Oryzias latipes: one gene and its partners. The protein of the gene in region 2 interacts with the protein of the main gene of each other region in a biochemical or structural test. Links are inferred from orthologs where the notes say so. Each region holds a gene or a part of one and is shown on either strand. Other genes may lie near its edges.

Region 1 (6,241 bases), on a different chromosome or scaffold from region 2:
CTCTATGCATACACCACAATCTTTGTCTGGCTTACGTTTTGCAGCTTTAATGTGCATGCCTACTGTTACCTCCTGCAATCGCAGTATGTCTTCGTAGATGCAGTGACCCATGATTTCGTGCCAGGTTTGAACATTAGAACATTATTTTCACATCACATTGGTAAATCTGGTGCCATCAGGCACCTCAAGAACATTTTCACCCTCATCAAAGTGTCCCTTGGCACCATTAGCAGTGTCACACTTCATGAGGGGATGTAGACGGCGTTCTTCAACGTCATCGGCGCCCTTTACTGTTGAGGAGACGTACCTGTGCATCCCCTCTGCCTTGTGCCAACCCAGAAGTACGCCCTCCGTCTGCCAGCTCCATGCTGTGTCTCTCTGGCTTGGAGGTGCTGTTGAAGCTCTTGACCGGCTCCTGTCGTTGATAAAGTGGGACGACTCGTCCTTTTACCTGGATCTGCTCCGCTGGCGTCTTTCGTCTCTGTCTTAAACGTGAAGTCTGCCTTTTTTGCGGCTCCCCTGGTGTCGACCCGTCTGCAATGCGCTTCATGGCTTCTGCTGTCGCAGCAGTCGTCTTGAGCTTTAACCCGTCCACGTTCTTTCTTTCTGCAGGCTCCGTCTGTGGGGAATACAGCAGCTTTCTTTGAGCAGTCGTCTTTTTTCTGTCCTTTGTCTCCACATCTCCAACACACCAGGTCCGTTGGGGGTCCGCTCTTTTTCTTTGAGGCCGCTCGGGCTGTCAGCACTCTCTCTACCGTCTGGTCATCTCTGGGGTCTATATCTTCAGAGTTCCTGAATTTGGCTTTGAACTCTCCCAGCTTCATGTCTGCAGAGCTGTGCATAATGCCCTGTTTTTTTCGGGTAGTCCCCTCATAATCATCGCCGTCATCCATCCGTCGCTCGGAGCTTCACCCGCACTCATGAGCGCTGTAATGGTTTGCTCCGCCCTGATGATCTACTCCGTAACAGTCTTAACACTCCGAGACTCTCGGCCCTCGTCTTTAGTGTCTCTGAATATCAGGCCCAAGCTGGTATTGTTCAATAATGGCGCCAGCGGCCAGTATGCATCAGCGTTAAGCTAGTCATCTGGGGCCTCATTTATAAAGCTTTGCGTAGGATTTGCGTCAGAAGTGGCGTACGGATGAAACATAGGACGTGCGCACGCACAGAAATATTCAGATTTATAAAACCGTGCGCACGCACATCCTACGCATCTTTCCCTTAATAAATCACAACCGATTCTAAATGCAGCGCAGCTTTTGCGGCTTCATGACACGCCCATAGTTGCCCATAAATAGTCCGTGAAACGCCCACAAATGAATATTCATTGATTGCGAAACCATGGCAACACAGAGAGGAAATGAAAAAAACGTAACTTCACTCACTGTGAAGTAGAATTTATCGTTGGCGAGGTGGAAAAGAGGAGAAAAGTGTTGTTTGGAGGGCACAGTGTGGGCATTACTAAAGCCAAAAAGACACGTGAAAATGCTGTAGCCTAACAACCTCGGACCGTGGCCGAAGTAAAAAAGAAATGGTCGGACATCAAAGTCGCGGCAAAAAAGCGTCTGGCGCTGCATCGCCAGAGTGTGTCTGCCACGGGGGGGGGGGGGGGACACCGGAGCTGACCCCTCTTGAGAGACTGGCGGCAATAATTGGGGAATCCCTTAAGGGGAGTGGTGACTGAGGCGCAGGGGGACACGACGCGCCAGATGCACCGGGTGACACCCCCCCAAAAGCCCGCAGAGGTCCAAAGGGACGGCTCGAAGAAGTCGGAACCGGCTCATAAGACACTCGTCCTCGTTTGCCAGCAAGTCTTCTTGCTGTCTAAAGATGCGTTCTCTCCGAATTCTTCCATTTGCCACATCTTCCAAGAGCACAAGATCAGCCATTGTGCGTCATTACGCATTGTGATGGGGCATTTTATTTCCATCCATTTAATTACATCTGACAAGCTACAGATGTCGGTAATAATCGACGTGGAAATGGGAAATTGATCAGCAAATGTAATTTCTTGTTGCTTTATGAATGGTTGAGACATACGCCATACATTGTTTTATCAAAAATAAAACAAACTAAAGGCATATGCATGAATACCATAATTCCATAGCTTATGAAGAAATGTTTTAATATGAAAACAACTTTCCCCAGTGGACAATTAATGCATCCGTCCGTCTGTCTGATTCGCACGCATCTGGCGGCGCGTGCACACGCAGCGGCTCCTCTCTCCCCTACCTTAAGTGTTTTTTGGCTTTATCTTTTTGGGTTTCAAGGATTTATTGTTTTTAAAAGAATGTATTTTAAGTCGTAAGTCGTTTATTTATTATTGTACATGCTGCTTGCACTGTGGGGTGGGAGGAAAGCAATTTCATCTGTGCTGTATGTCTTACGGATGCAGCATATTTGACAATAAAGCTGACTTTGACTATATCTGCTCCTCCAGACGGACACACTGACGAGAATATCAGTTCTGTACATTATTTCGTTCTGTTAACTATATTATTTATGAGGATGAATTGCACAACATGCCAATTTGCAGAACATATTTCACTTTTCTTTTTGCAAATATGTGTTCATTTGAATTTCTGTTGTAATTTTTGTTTGATCTTTTTTGTTTGTTTCACTGCTGATCGATCAAACGGGTGTTTGTGTAGCTGTTAATTGTCAGACTTGCTTTGTGAAGTCTTCATGTTATTTCTGAGAGGCAGTATTGTCATTTTCACTTTCACGTGTTTCTTCCATCTGCCGACGGTGTCGCCGTTTCTCCTTTCACCCGTTTTTGTGCGTACGCCTGGGTCAGAGCGTGGAGGACCGCACATTTTCCCCTCAAGTTTGCTTTTTATAAATCTCAACTATTGCGTAGAGAGTGGCGTACGCCTTCTTTTGTGCGTACGCAACCTTTAGAAATGAGGCCCCTGGTGCTTGTTCATCCGCTGACGGAGGTCCGGCCGGATCGTTCAGGACCGTCTGCTTCAGTCCTACACTGAAACGTTCAGGGTTCATGCCCCTCTGCTCTCCCGTCCAATGTGGGACATTTAATCTTGGTTCTGTTCGCCATTTTGTGTCCATAGCTAAGCTAGCTGCTACTTCCAGCTCATTTCCGCTGTGCATGTGTCCGTCGTCTGGGTCTCTGGAACCATAACCTGCAGGTAGGCTGATGCCGTTTGTCCACCTGCAGCGGGACAATTCTGACCCAATCAGACGGACAGACACGTTTTTCTCAACAGGCCGAGCAAAACAGACAGAGGAGGAAGGAAGTGAACATCCTCCTTATATGGGCAGGTTCTGATTACTCACATGTCTGGTAGAACAGCGCCGCCTTCTGGTCACTAAATAGGTACTGTTACAAGCAGTCATATCTATATCAACACTGTCCAATAAAAAACGGGTTTCTAAAGACAAAATGCTTTTTTTTAGACTTTCTGTCAGGATCTTTTACGAAAATTGAAATTCTTCATTGGATGAAATGAAACCAACCTGAATCTCCTCTTCATCCTCCTCCTCCTGCAGGGGCTCCCGGCTCAGCTGCTCGTGGGGGGGGGCATAGATGTCTCGGAAAGGACCAGCCTCGCCGCTGGTGGCCGCGCGCTCGCACGAGCAGCGCGTGCTCCGCAGGTTTGATGAGCTCCGCCGCGAGGAGCAGCTGTGTGACGTCACGCTGGTGGTGGAGGACGTGCGCTTCAAGGCGCACAAAGCGCTGCTCGCGGCCAGCAGCGACTTCTTCTCCGTCATGTTCACGGCGGGGGAGCAGCTCCACCCCTCCACCCTCCGCCTGGACGGCATGACGGCGGACGCCTTCGCGGCCGCGCTCGACTTCATCTACGGCGCACAGGTGCGCGTGGAGGAGCGCGCCGCCGCGCCGTTGCTGAGCGCGGCGCGGCGCGTGGAGCTGGGGGAGCTGGTGCGAGCGCTCACCGAGCCGAGCCGTGACGGCGGGGGGGCAACCAAGCTGCTGCGGCGCAAACGAGGACGGCCCCGGAGGGAGGAGGGCGAAGCCCCGCCCACTGATGACGCGGCCACGCAGAGGCGCCACAGCGAGCGCAAAGTGCGGCCCCCGGCCAAGTTCAGAGGCTACAAGGTCAGCAGCGACCGTGCCGGGGGGGAGGAGGAAGAGGAGGCGGGACGGAGGGGGGGCAGGAAGAGACACCCCCCCTCAGAGGCGCGATGCAGGGACTGCGGGAAAGTCTTCAAACACCACCTGTTCCTGCAGGTTCACAGGAGGACTCACACAGGTAGGACCCCCCAGCAGGAGTCAGTTACCCCCCCCCCGACTGAAGTTGAGTCATGGGACGCCCGCCTTCTCTGCCCCCCAGGAGAGAAGCCCTTCCACTGCTCCGCCTGCGGGAAGAGCTTCACCCAGAAGCACACGCTGCAGGCCCACCAGCGCGTCCACAGCGGGGAGCGGCCCTTCGTCTGCGCCGTCTGCTCCAAGTCGCTGTCCTCCAAGCACTCGCTGCAGGAGCACATGAGCCTGCACCAAGGTCTGCCCCCACCGACCCCAAGAACCCACCCAGTCAGTGGCAGCTGCATCTGATCGCTGATGGACCCCCCCCCACAGAACCCCAGCTGATCCTAACAGGATCAGAACTTTGGATCAACTCTTTGTTCTGTGTCCACAGAGAAGACCTTCACCTGTGACAAATGTGAGAAGAGCTTCACTCAGAAGAGGCAGCTAAAGAACCACTACAGAACCCACACAGGTGAGGACACCTGCACACAGCCCCCCCCCCCACAAAGAAACCTGCAGCTCAGAGCCCCCCCCCCCCCCCCAGGTAAATCCTTACCAGAGTGTGCCGAGTGTCAGCGCAGGTTCATGGACACGGCCCAGCTGAAGAAGCATCTGAGGACTCACACAGGTAAGGGGCGGGGCTCGGTTAAGGCCCCTCCCACCGGGGGCGGGGGGCTCGGTCTGGACGTCTAAGAACAGCCTTGCGTCCACAGGAGAGAAGCCGTTCACCTGTGAGATCTGTGGAAAGTGCTTCACCGCCAAGAGCACGCTGCAGACACACATCCGGATCCACAGGTGAGTCCAGGAGGAGGGCGGGGCCTCCCCCTCCACCCCCTCACAGATCTTTTCAAATGGATGTTTGCAGACTTCCATATGCATTGTAAAAATGCACCATTTTTCTGTGGCTGCAGAGGGGAGAAGCCCTTTGACTGCGGCGTCTGCGGGAAGACCTTCTCGGACCCGAGCGCCAGGCGGCGCCACGCCGCCACCCACTCAGGGAAGAAAGCCTTCACCTGCTCCGTCTGCAGCCTGTCCTTCACCCGCCTTGACAACCTGAAGACGCATGCCAAAACGCACAGCAGGGAGGGTGGCGCCGCGGACGCGCAGGAGGAGCCGCGCGGCGCCTTACTGCTGCAGCCCCCCCTCGGCTCAGAGCCGGAGATCCAGCTGCTGGTGACGGACCAGAACCTTAGCTTTGCTGCAGGTCAGCAGGAGATCAGCCTCCTGGCTGCTGACGGGGGCGCAGCTCACCCCACCCACTCCAAGTTCACGCTGCTTGCTCAGACCGATGCCGTGACTCCTCCGATTCACGCAGTCAGCATGCTGGACCCCCACCCTGAGCAGATGCACATCATCACGCTTAGCAAGGAGGCGGTGGAGCAGCTGCAGGCCCACCACGACACCCCGCCCTCCCACGGCACCGCACCTGGACAGGTGAGCAGGCCACCGAGCCGGGCCATTCACGTCAGCAGCCAGAGCGGCCAGCCCATCTCCATCAGCCAGACCGGCCAGCAGCTCTGCAGCCACCACATCCAGGGGCAGAGCTTCCAGATCCAGGCTGGAACCGTGTCCTACCTGTACGCCAGCGGGCTCCCCCAGGACACGCCCCCTCCTGAGACCACGCCTCTGCAGAAGCTTCCGGGCTCCTGAGTTCATGTCATGAATCGCCCCCACCCCAGGTAAACGCTGAGGTTCTTTGGATGATTTTGGATCAGAATCTGAGCTGAAGCGCCCCCCCCCTTCTGAAAACAGAAACAAACTGGAGAACCTTTTGGAAATAAAGTTTTTTCTCTTCAGGTCTGTGATCTTTGGGAAGCCTGGTGGTGGGAGCATGATGATAGGGGATTGTGAGGTTCAGATCCAGCATCCAGTTTAGATTTTCAGATTAAAAGCTGAGGGTGGAGGTTCTGGTGGATGAGGCCGACCTCCGACCTCAGCAGCTGAGTGATTTAGTAGTTAAAGCTGCAAGCTCCAACCTGAAGAAACTTTTACTTTGAAAAGTTGAAACCATTTTAG
Region 2 (6,178 bases):
TTTGATTTTTTTCATACATGTGGTCAAAAACAAAATCCAGCCTTGGATGCACTTAAAATATGTGCAGGCAATGCAGCAATGCACCATCTTCTCTTCTCACGCACCTGAGCTTGTGCACGCCTGGCGGGGCAGATCAGGGAGCTTCTGCAATGCGCTTGCACTACTAGGCCATTGTGACATCACAACGCCTCATTCATATAAACAGCGCGTCTTTGCGTCAGTTTAATTGCCACTGATTTAAAAGGAGAAATACTCAGAAATGAAAAAAAGAAATTATTTTTTATTACATTTGTTCTCTTTCATAAGAAAAATGTCAGATATACATAAAAAAACAACAACATGATTTTTAATGGAGGGGGACTTTAAAGACATTTGTAATGTACATATTGTAGCTTATAAACATTAAAATGTGATAACAGTTAGATCCGCTAAATCAGTGAGACAACTGCAGTAAATCATAGACCGGAAGAAACTCCAGTTACCTGCAGCCTCAGCAATAAATTCTCTGGTCCAATCAGAATCTGCTGAATCACCAAGAGAGGTGAGACCCGGTGTGGTGGCAGAATCCGAACTGGAGAGGAACTCGGCAGCCCAATCACCAGAGAGGGCCAGTGCGGCCACATCAGGAGCTAAAACAAGAAGTGAGGATATCATTTTCTGAAATGTGCTGAGATCACATGGCAGAGAGAAAAATTGTATAAAATGTATGAATAAATTGGAAGAATGATGTGCACCTCTCTGTGGAGCTTGTCTGTAGCTTTGCTGATCGATCTGCTGCATTTCCTCTAATAGCTGACCCATGTCAAATGTGGTGGGGGGGCGTGGCGGGGCCTGAAGGAACTCATTCACCAACTGGAGCAAAAACCAAAAAAAAAAAGAAAAAACATTTCACAGCTGTAAGTATTTGAAAGATAGCTTTCATGCATAAAATATAACAATTCTAAAAACTTGAGGTGAATATTTCAAATATTTAAAAGGATATTTTAGTATAAAGGGACAGAAAACTAAACAGACCTCTTGTTCGGTTGCAATTTCAATAGGAGTTGGTGGAATCTGAGAAAAAGCGGTAAAGAAAACAGAACCGGTTCATTAAATGCATTTTATTCTGCTGTAATGGAATAAAAAAAACAGCTAATGTTACATTAGTTAGTAATGCCCAACATTACTCACTGCAGGGCTGGTGCGGTGCTGCCATGTCCCCTCTTCTTTGGTCATGTGACTGGCCAACTTCATGAGGGGATTGGCTCCACCACATTCGGCCTCCACCAATTCTCGCATCGCCATGGCAACGGAAGGAAGAGGCAAACCCCACTAGAGTACGTAAAAGCTAAAAAAAATAAATAAATAAGGATTGCGAAATACATGCATTTCTGTTTCACAACAAAAAATGAAAGCAACAGATTAAATAGATTTATGAACAAAGGACTGTTGTGCAAATGACAATAAAATGAATTAAAAATGACTGATTACTTTAACTTAGACTTTGACCAAAAAATGAAAAGGACTGGAAACAACTTTTATTGGCAAACTGAAACTCTAAATACTGCCAAAAACTTACCAAGACACTTTTTCACAAATATATTTATTTATGATTAAGATTAAGAATTAAATTATTTATTAGTGTCCGTGAACGTAATCATATTTGAATGAATAACTATCCTATGTTTGAAATATCTTTGTATAGATTTACATTTCTGTTGTTCGTCTTGTTTTTGCATTCTTTTTGCTCTGATTGCTTGAAATAAACCATTTCCAAATCCAAATCCAAATATTTAGAGCTATGACATATTGTATCCCAAACTATTCGTATCTGAAATCTGAACAAAAAAAATCAAATGTGTATTTTGTCACCAAACATAGTAAGATATCTGAGAGGAAATGCAGCATTATTAATATTCTTTAAAATCTGAGCTTCAAAGTATTATCTTGAATCACTTCCTGGTTTCTGTCAAGTGTTTTATTATAAATTAAACCTGCCAGTTGCTGCCATCTTACGAATACAATCACAAACATGCAATATTGCTCTTTCTTTTTACATTTTAGCTCCACATAAAAGGTCCAGAAAACGAATCATTTAACAGCTGACGAGCCAGATGAAGAGAAAGCCTGAGGGTTTAAACATTGCACAAAAAGCCCCATGCCTTGTCAACAAATTTAAAACTCCATCTGTCGCATTTTCATGCCAGTTAATGGCTTTTAGTGAACTGTTAATAATGAGGACACGGATTGTAAGCCTTGCAGCGCACGGGGATGTTTACCACACATTTACATAGTGAATCAAAATTGATTTGGGGCAATTTGTGCTTTCCCTGGGTTACAGTGTTCACAATGAAGAAAAGCTTTTATTCTGTATGGATGAGTGCATTCAGACTGCTGTGAGGTCTTAAAGCCTCAGGTCTGAAGGTCTGAGCTGTGTGGGGACAGACTCGTGTAAAAATGTTACAATCGCCTCTAGAATAGATAGATCAGTCACGATGTAAACATACACACAAGGATCTAATTATGAAAATAATAACAGTAAAAAATAAAAAACAAGGAATACAAGCTTGCATCAACTAAATAAAATAAAAAACAACTAATCACGTAAAGTATACATACATACATAAGAGAATTGCAATCTTTTTTTCTGTCCAACTGTCATCTCCCCAAAATAAATCTCATCGTTTTTAGTGTTGGCATAAGCATCCTAGTGAGTCACACCTCTGACCGCTGCATAATGATTAGGATCGAAGTAGTAAGAGGATTAACAAAGATATTAATAAAATATTGTCACAGACAACACATGCTGCCTTAGTTAGACACACGTCTACGTCACACTTCAGGTATTTGGAAGAGCAACGTAAATGTTTTAATCAAGGCAATCTTAATGTATCTTTTAAATGTGCACACATAGTTGGGAGTAACTACAAATATTGGCATCAGAGTGTACAGAGGTTCTGCACTAACCTAAGCTAACTGTAGCCTCAGTCCCAAACGGTAAAATTAGCTACATGTGTCAGGATGTGTTTCGTCTTTGTGTAGTCAACCTCAACCCATTAAAAACCCCAATATTAGACAGAAAGAAAACATATTAATACCTAAAGAGTTCGACTCTAACATAAGCATGGCTAGAGTTAGCTAACGAGCAGGTTACATGGTACAAAGATCATTCTTGTACGGCACAGTGAGTCCGAATTGAATAAGCATGGTGGTTGTTGTTGTTCATCTCACCGCCGACAGCTACTGCTGCTGCTGCCGCAGTCGCTCCTCTGTGGCCCGGGTGTCCTCTCTAGCTTCTGCTCCGAGGGCCGTGTCTGAATCTAGCACCGTTCGAACCGCAGCCGCTTTATGCTCCTAATGTTTATCTTCCACCTCCATGACCCACAGAACCATCCACAGACTCCTTTGAGATCTGCCGTACGTTACGTTACGTAGGTTACGTATATTCTTTAACGACGTTACGTAGGAAGAGAGAGAGAGAGAGAGAAGCTATGTTACATTGATTAAAATAAAATAGAATAAATTATACAATGGCCACTGATAATTGTTTAATTAAATTTCACATGCCAAGGTTATTTTCATTTAACCAAATTTTCTAATTTTCTCATGCCAATAGTAAACAGTAAAATACATCTTGTGTTTGGCTCACTTGAAGTTTTGCAGACATCATTTGTGTACCCAAATGATTTTTTTAAAACTTTTATTTCTAATCAGAAGAGGTTATTCTCTGCCAACATTGGTAGGTACACCATTAGCTGTTATTGTTATTAATTATAATATTACCATTCTTAGAAGCCAGTGAATCTTACCAGACTGATACTCTTTAGTCCTCCCACAAAAATAAAAACATTGCAATGTGATATACATTAACTTAAGCAGAACAAACTGTTCTGTTATTTTCTGCTCCTGTAGGCTGGAGAATTCAGTCATGTTTGCTGAAGGCTGTGTTTTATATAATTAGATATCAGTAGAAGCCAAGGCCATTTTTCCATACACTAGTTCTCCTTTAAAATTGTTTAGCCTTATATGAATGCATGGATTGAAATCATAGAAAACCTCATTAAATTAAATCAAACTATGTTTAAAAATACTTTAAATGTTCACAGTCAATATAAAAGTAAAACTGCTACCTTTTAGAAAACAGAGATATCAATTCAAAATGCATACGACTCATCTACAATCTAATAGGTAAAACATGGGGCTGCATATCAGAAAAACTTGCAATATCCAGTATTAGTGATCAATATTGTGATGACGATATTACTTGCGGTACATGAACAAATAGCAAAACAACCAAAAACATCTATCCCATTTCACTGGAACAGTTTAAAAATTATACTCCAAATGACCCTCGTCTACATAGGAGGCGAACATCTAACATAAAAGGGCTCCATCCGATTGGACCACAACATGAAGACGTCCATCCGGTTGGTCAAATCCATAAAGAGATTTATTTGATTCATTAAATACTTCACGCTGGCATAAGATAAGGTAACCATTTATTGCAATTTTCGCGGACTTTTGCAATATGCATATTGCACAGCTTGATCTTGCAATAACAATAAATTTGCGATTCATTGTGCAGGCCTAGTAAAAGACTGTAATATAATATATAATAAGACATACTGTCTGCTGCTTTAGGTGATGTAACCTTTGTGCTATCCTAGGCACTTTAACATTGGGTGTTGGGTCATCTAGACCCACTAGAGAGTGCGCTGAACCTTTTTTCTTCAATGATTTGTGAACCTCACTGGTGTCCATGAATTACATGAAATCTTTCCACCTTTATCATGGTAGGGAGAACATGTCAATGTAAGGGTGGGGTCATCTAAGATAGCACAAGGGTTAAAGTGAAAGTGATTGTGTTAGTGTGTTAACAGGAAAATAAGTTTAATATGGATACTGGGATTTTGTTGGGTGGCAGTTTCAGTGAATGCACACACTAGCAAGGAAACTTTTCTCATGGAGACGTCATATAGTGGCTTTTATTATGAATTTTGTAATGTTTTCTGACACTTCTCAGTAACAATTAGTCAGCTTAATCCACATTGTCAGTGTATCGATAATCACAGGTAAATCTCCAAACCGTAACATAGTATTAATATAAGTTATTTATTAATGCAATGTTTATTGGCTCTTTAACATCACACTCAAAAACAAGAGGCTTTATTTACTGACAACCTTAGCACTGCACATTGATAGGATACACAGACAGCAAGAGACACAGAGGGAGAGTGATGGAGAGGTGAAGGGAAAAGGCGAGTGGAGCGTGATGGGAAGGTAAAAATGACAAGCACACAGTTGTACATTTATTAAACCAAAATTACTAGAAGTAATGAAAACAACATAAAATATGGTCAACAAATAAAACAAAAAAATGGGGGAAAAAACCCTTGAAATGAGTGAAAGTCTTACAACAATGTGCTCTCCTTTTTTGTGACTCAGATATTGACAGGTTCATAAATTACAACATTATTACACACAAATTAGGAGACACTCATCAAGCCATGGGAATATCATCCTTATCACTACTACTATTTATCATTATTATATTACTTCTTTGAGTTGAAAAGTGATTCCTCATGTGGAAAAATGTTAAATTATAATCTGCTCCCTCTCAAAAATGTGCAGTAAAAGAGTGGATGCAAAATATAATAGTAATATCAATAACATCATAGTAGTCTTCATTGTATATACAGAAAGTTCATTACAATCAATACAATCAAAACTGCCCAAGCTGAGCGGACATTCTGAAAACAGCGAGGGGTAATGTTATGGAGTGTGTGTTTCCATGTAGAGCAGTGTTGTGGAGAGAGTCTATCTGCATGATAGCTGCTGCAGTTTTAACTCAATTCATTGTAGAAAATGCAACTTTGTAAATGCTCAGAATTGAACAAAGAAGTTTCATTTTGTATTCTATGAGTGTTGAAAAAGTGCCAGCTTGAGTGAGGGTTGTGCAAGAAAGCGTTTCAGTATTGTCAGGAGACTCAGATACAACGTAGCTTGAATCTGAAGAAGTAAACTAATCTCACAATAGAGGGAAGAACACCTACAGGTACGCCAGATTTAAGGTTTTTGTGGCTGTTACTTCTGAACTTGATGTCTTCACTCTTTGAGGGTAAAGGAATGTGTCGGAGGAGGTCGCAAAGAAAAATACGAGCTTGTGCACAGACTTCCCAATGCAGTTTTACAAAAAGTT
Region 3 (6,013 bases), on a different chromosome or scaffold from region 2:
CGCTTGGGGCGGGACTTTCATTTCAGACGGTGGCGTTCAGGGCCAGTTCGAAAAGCCTACGGCTTGGTGATTTTATTTCTCAGCAGCGGACGCGTGAGTCCAGCGGGAGGCGCCGTCGCTCTAACCCTCAGGCGCGTAGATCTTAATGAGGTGTTGAGGTGCGCTGGGGAAGCCTGTGACGGGGCAGCAGCGGTGCTCCTTCACGTGCGCGTAGATGCACGGGTAGCAGAAGACGAAGCTGGAGGTGGACAGCGCCGTGGCATTGGCGCACAACTTGTGGCAGAGCGGGCAGCTCCGGCTGTTCGAGTCCTGCTGCAGGTGGAGGGGGGGCGGGGGTGCAGGCAGGGACGTGAGACCCCTCACGGTGCTCTGGTTGTCTGGCGAGTACCACCACTCCAGGAACTGCAAGAAGAAGACGCCCATGGACAGGAAGGTGGACAGAGAGGTGGCCACGCCCCTCGCCGCCTGTGACATCATCCAACCGACCCTGCAGCCAAACAGAAACATGGTTAAGAACATTTTTTTTCTGCCACTTTGGACCTAAACCTCTAAAACCAGGACAGAACTGGGTCTACCTGCTGTGAGCGGGGTCGTCAGACCCCTCGATGTTTCGGAAATCTGCAGCAGTCAGTCGGGTCAGTCGGACCCTGGCCAGCCAGAGCAGCGGGCTGTGGGTTCTGGAGGATCCAAAGACGAAGAGCAGCTGCTGGCAGAAGACCCAGACGCGCCACGCCGAGCTGATGTACGGGAACGCCGCCACCGCCGCGCTGTACAGCCTCCGTGTCCTCGACCGTGCCAACTGGATGGAGAAGTCCTCCTCATCCCTCTGCCGGACCAGCCGGGCCTCCAGTTTGGCCCGCAGGTACGGAACCAGGCACAGCAAAAGAAGAGAGCGCCAGTGGGCGGGACGGCGCAGCCCCTTGTGCACAGGACGTTCCCGCCCTTCTGACACTCTCTTTAAGCCGTAAAAGTTCTCAGAAAAGGAGGCGCTGTAGCGGGACAAGAAGTGGTTCTGGAGCAGCAGGTCCAGAAGCAAGTAGAGCTCATCAAAAGTCCTCCACAGACAGCCAAAGCGGGCCGGGCTGGACTCCGCCAGAACCTGAAGCGGTCAGAGAGTCAGAGCTGGCGTTCTTCTAGTGAGGAGCCAGAACTATTGGAGCCTCACCTTGACGGCGTGCTGCACCGCCGGACGGACGGCCTCCAGCAGCGACTCCTGGGCCAGAACCTCAAAGATGGACGGCTGCTCACCGATGGAGGTGGAGGTGAGATGGGCCCCCGCCTCGGCCATGGCTGCCGGCCTGAGGGACCAAACCACTGGATGTTAGAGGAACGGTGCAGGTGGGTCCAGAACCAGAACAGACTGGGTCCAATTTTTACCAAACTGTACAGCTAGATGGCTCTGATGTTGCTCGCCATTTTCTGCTAGTGTTAGGTTGGGGGTGTGAGGGACAGAGTGTTGACAAAAAGGTCTATGTTATATGTGATGGAAACGGGGGGCGGGGTTGCTGTGCACCACAGTTCAGAGGGGAATTTCTAATGAACTCCTGCCACTCTGCAGGAACTATGTCCTAGAAAACGACAGATTTTTTAAAAATTTTAGTCAAAAACAACATAATGGTGAATAGATCAAAAAATGATCGGAGCGGGAAAACTAAGAACTGTTCTAAGAGGTTTTTTATAAGATGGACCAGGTTCCCATTAGAAATCTCTGCATGAACTTTATTAAGGTCACTTTGTTACCGTTTCCTGTGAGTCCACAGGCCCACTTGAGAGTCTGCAGGCCCACCTCTGAATCCACAGGCCCACCTGAGAGTCTGCAGGCCCACCTGTGAATCCACAGGCCTACCTGTGAATCCACAGGCCCACCTGAGAGTCTGCAGGCCCACCTGTGAATCCACAGGCCTACCTGTGAATCCACAGGCCCACCTCTGAATCCATAGGCCCACCTGTGAATCCACAGGCCCACCTGTGAATCCACAGGCCCACCTGAGAGTCCACAGGCCCACCTGAGAGTCTGCAGGCCCACCTGTGAATCCACAGGCCCACCTCTGAATCCATAGGCCCACCTGTGAATCCACAGGCCCACCTGTGAATCCACAGGCCCACCTGAGAGTCCACAGGCCCACCTGAGAGTCTGCAGGCCCACCTGAGAGTCTGCAGGCCCACCTGTGAATCCACAGGCCTACCTGTGAATCCACAGGCCCACCTGAGAGTCTGCAGGCCCACCTGTGAATCCACAGGCCCACCTGAGAGTCTGCAGGCCCACCTGTGAATCCACAGGCCCACCTCTGAATCCATAGGCCCACCTGTGAATCCACAGGCCAACCTGTGAATCCACAGGCCCACCTGAGAGTCTGCAGGCCCACCTGTGAATCCACAGGCCCACCTGTGTGACCACGTACAACATGTTTTTTTCTGTTTCTTCTGCTGTCTTCTGTTAGAAAAACTTTGTCCCTGACTTGAAAAAATGTTTGGACAGTGCCTCAGAAATGATTCATTGAGAATCAATGAATTCCTACATAGAATCTACTCCACTAATCAGTTCATGTAAAGATTTAAAACATGTCAATACAACTGTACACTCTGTAAAACAAACCCAGAAACAATTAGTGACTTATTTAGAGAGTGAGATATTACCTAAAAAAAAAAAGAATGTATGAAAACAACACAAAATTGAACATAAAAATTGCAATTGACATCCATTCATTCATCTTCTTAACCGTTTTATTCCCTTTCGGGGTCACGGGGTTGCCGGAGCCTATCCCAGCCACTTTGGCGTGGGCAAGGGATGCCCTGGACTGGCGACCAGTCTGTCGCAGGGTAGAATATCCTCAATCAGACATCCATTCACTCTCACACTCACACCTATGGACAATTTAGAGTTGCCAATCAACCTATGCAATTGACATCCAGTACAGACCAAAGGTTTGGACACACCTTCCCATTCATTTAAATGAGGTCTGTACTGTATAGATTCTATTTTTTTCAGTCTCATCTACACAAAGCTACATTCTCTTCATCCCAACTTTTTTCCCTGTAAGAATTCAAGCAATAGAATCTCACCATTTCCCATAGTGTTAAACAAAATAATCATAAATACATATTGTCTGCCTATGAACAGTTTTAATTTATTATGATGCATGTTTTGTATTCATATGCCATCTCCTAGCATTTTAATAGTTCCATTTGTTCTGTATGTTTGCTGTAGTTTGCACATTTTAACAACAACAACAATCTACCGTGCCAAACACGTTCTCTTTTTAAGGCACATGGATGTCTGGACATGCGCAGTCGCGATCAGAACTTTTTGCGATTCTTTCACTTCAACTGAACTCAGATCCGAACAGAACCGGCTCAAAAGCCACGTTACAGCTGTGTGAGTGACTTATGGTATGCCTGATCAGTACCAACCCGGTCCGGTTCGAGGCGGGAACACTAAGATAAAAAGAAAAAAACAAACAAACCGGGCCGGGTTCACGCCCTCAGCATCAGAACTGGACTGTTGGTATCGATCCCAACCACGGCGTTGGAGGCTCCTTGCAGAGATTCGGATCGGTTCTGGTGATTTGGTTTTGTTTCTTCCGCCTTCTCTTCTTCTCTGAACTGTCAGCTTTCATCAGCGTTGCTGCCACCTGCTGGACAGAGGCGGAAGCGCAGGGCGGGACGTCTGCAGTTCATTTCAACCAGACGTTCCAACAGAAACTTCCCGAGTTTTTCAGCTTTTGTCTGCAAGCACATCGTCTAATAATTCCTTTTCTATCCTTATTGCTTTGCTAAAAAAGAAAAAAAAAGGTAAATGTGCTTTAAGAAGACTTGCATTGTTATTTTAAAGATAGAATCATGCGTAGATAAAGTGAAACACTTTTTTTTATCCATCCTTCAATCTTTTTTTGTTTTCATCAACTATGGAAAACCTGATCTACTATTATCCATAATTAATAATGTTATGCTTAGATCTGCTTGTTAGTATAAATTATTTATGTGTATTTATTCATAAACCAAAACATTTTCACAACAAAAAAACAGTCACTTTGCATCAGACTGTTGCGGTGCTCTATTTTTTTTTCTTTTTATAATTTTCCGCCAGGTTCTTTCCTCCTCATTTGGTCAAAATCCAAACAGGCCAAGAATAATTTATATTTTACTGTTATAATTTAACTGTTTATGCTTTTTATTGCTTTTTTGACGTTGTCATGTCCTGTGCCATGGAGTGTGGTCATGTTTAGGCTCAATACGATTTTTAGCAAAGCAACCCCTTAACCACCCCAAATATATAACAGCGTAAATGTAATGCTTTATTTTAAAATAAACTTTAATTGTACAAAATGTTGTTGCATGTCATCCCTTCCCATTTAACATTTAATGTGTTTCATGTATGTCTCGTTTGTGTTAAAAATGTGACACAAAACCGCACTGAAAAGATAAGTCGTTGAGGTACGCAGTAGCACCGTCTCAACAGAGAGGGCGCTGGTGAACTCGTTTGTTCCACATTTGTTACTAATAAAGTTTATTCAATGAGAGCCAGTATTTTGTGGCTGTGTCTGAATTCCTACCCTACTCCTTAACTACTAAAAAACTACACAGTACAGCACTATGTAGTGCTCTGGATTTTAAAAGTAATTTGGACACCATGCTCACTACTTTTTTTTTTAACGGCAAATATGTCGTCATCAATTTCAAGAATTCGAAATCTAATTGATATGAGAGTTTTGTAACGATTATTCACGAGTCCAATGTCTTCTGCAGAGAAAAACTTTCACATTTTTCCTCTCTCTTCTCCCTCTGTAAGAAAAGAGAAAGAAAATATATATTAAAATATAATTTGTAATAAATAAATAAATAAAATAAAAAAAGGGGCTTATCCAAATATATTCAATTCAATTCAATTCAATTTTATTTGTATAGCCCAAAATCACAACAACAGTCGTCTCGATGGGCTATACACCCTTATCCGAAGATACATACATAACCCCCTTATTGTAGTAAAACCTGTCCAAAGGAAATGGCCGCCAGCTCTCATCTGTTTGCTCAGTTGTTGGAAAGAACAAGTTAAAAGAAAAAGAAAAAAGATTCAAAGGTGGACTTTGATTTATAACATTAAGTAATAATTAATGGATGGCCGACGCTGAGCACACATCTTTATTGAGACTTCTGTAACGGAAAGAAGATAAGAAGGGTTTTTTACGTTAAAGTCACAGAGATTTTTGTCCAGAAGGAGACACGAATGGACTTCATTTACAAGTAAAGGTTTGACCAGTGTGTGTGTGTGTGTGTGTGTGTGTACTGTTGCTTACTTTGCCTTTTCTGACTTTTAGTCAAAGTTCCTTGAGTTTTTGTAATTTCATGTGGTGAATCAGGGTCTATGTTTACGGGGACAAAAAGAATAAAGTATCCACGTTTTATGATCTTTTCTGAAGTATTTTGGTGGATCTACAGCTCCTGTCTTACTTCCCATTACTTTTAGTATAGTTCATGTGGATCTAAAAAGGAACCATAGGCACAATTTACATAATTTACACAAACTTCTTTCCATTCTGGCTTTAGTAGGTGACTTCTAAACAGACATGACAACACGGTTTATGCATTTTGCACAGATGCTTTTAATACAAATTAAATATGGGGCTTTCTGGTAGGACTTACAAAAAACTGGGAGCAGTGATACAAATCAAATCAATTTTGAACATGCAATATAATTTGCCAAGATGATGCTTCGCTGCAGGCAGTGTTGTGCATTTTTGTCTTGCATACCTGGAAGATGGGAATTCACTGGTGCAACTTTAACACAAATCCAAAAGAAGATAAAAACATCACAAAAACTGGTAGAAAGTGTTTGTATTTTCTGTTTTAGTAAATATGTTTACATTAGACAGAAAGAATTAGGAATTGCAATTGTTGAGCTTGATATGGAACCAGTCATGGTAACAAAAGCTGACACAGTTGTGTTTTTCTTTTTTTGCTGCAGGGAAAAAGGGGAAATAGTGCGCTGCAGTGGTCTGAGTGCTCCACTCCTGTG

Evidence for each region.
Region 1: the proteins of pex5 (region 2) and ddo form a complex in vitro, tested with the Homo sapiens proteins (2 studies listed by BioGRID, with this or other methods). The link is inferred for Oryzias latipes from reciprocal best matches to the Homo sapiens genes PEX5 and DDO.
Region 3: the proteins of pex5 (region 2) and pex12 form a complex in vitro, tested with the Homo sapiens proteins (2 studies listed by BioGRID). The link is inferred for Oryzias latipes from reciprocal best matches to the Homo sapiens genes PEX5 and PEX12.

The regions. Positions count from the first base shown.
Region 1 is NC_019880.2:552,649-558,889, reverse strand, and holds the start of ddo (D-aspartate oxidase), read right to left. Parts: upstream 3,730-6,241; coding exon 3,475-3,729; intron 620-3,474; coding exon 308-619; intron 1-307. Other genes in the region: zinc finger and BTB domain-containing protein 24-like, read left to right, coding at 3,728-3,923, 4,022-4,229, 4,311-4,510, 4,617-4,697, 4,770-4,853, 4,939-5,020, 5,137-5,875. UniProt on the Homo sapiens protein: Selectively catalyzes the oxidative deamination of acidic amino acids. Suppresses the level of D-aspartate in the brain, an amino acid that can act as an agonist for glutamate receptors. Protects the organism from the toxicity of D-amino acids.
Region 2 is NC_019874.2:20,499,829-20,506,006, reverse strand, and holds the start of pex5 (peroxisomal biogenesis factor 5), read right to left. Parts: upstream 3,407-6,178; 5' UTR 3,211-3,406; intron 1,328-3,210; 5' UTR 1,285-1,327; coding exon 1,171-1,284; intron 1,054-1,170; coding exon 1,015-1,053; intron 853-1,014; coding exon 735-852; intron 630-734; coding exon 483-629; intron 1-482.
Region 3 is NC_019866.2:23,911,532-23,917,544, forward strand, and holds the start of pex12 (peroxisome assembly protein 12), read right to left. Parts: upstream 3,730-6,013; 5' UTR 3,465-3,729; intron 1,299-3,464; 5' UTR 1,289-1,298; coding exon 1,166-1,288; intron 1,100-1,165; coding exon 576-1,099; intron 488-575; coding exon 121-487; 3' UTR 1-120. UniProt on the Homo sapiens protein: Component of a retrotranslocation channel required for peroxisome organization by mediating export of the PEX5 receptor from peroxisomes to the cytosol, thereby promoting PEX5 recycling.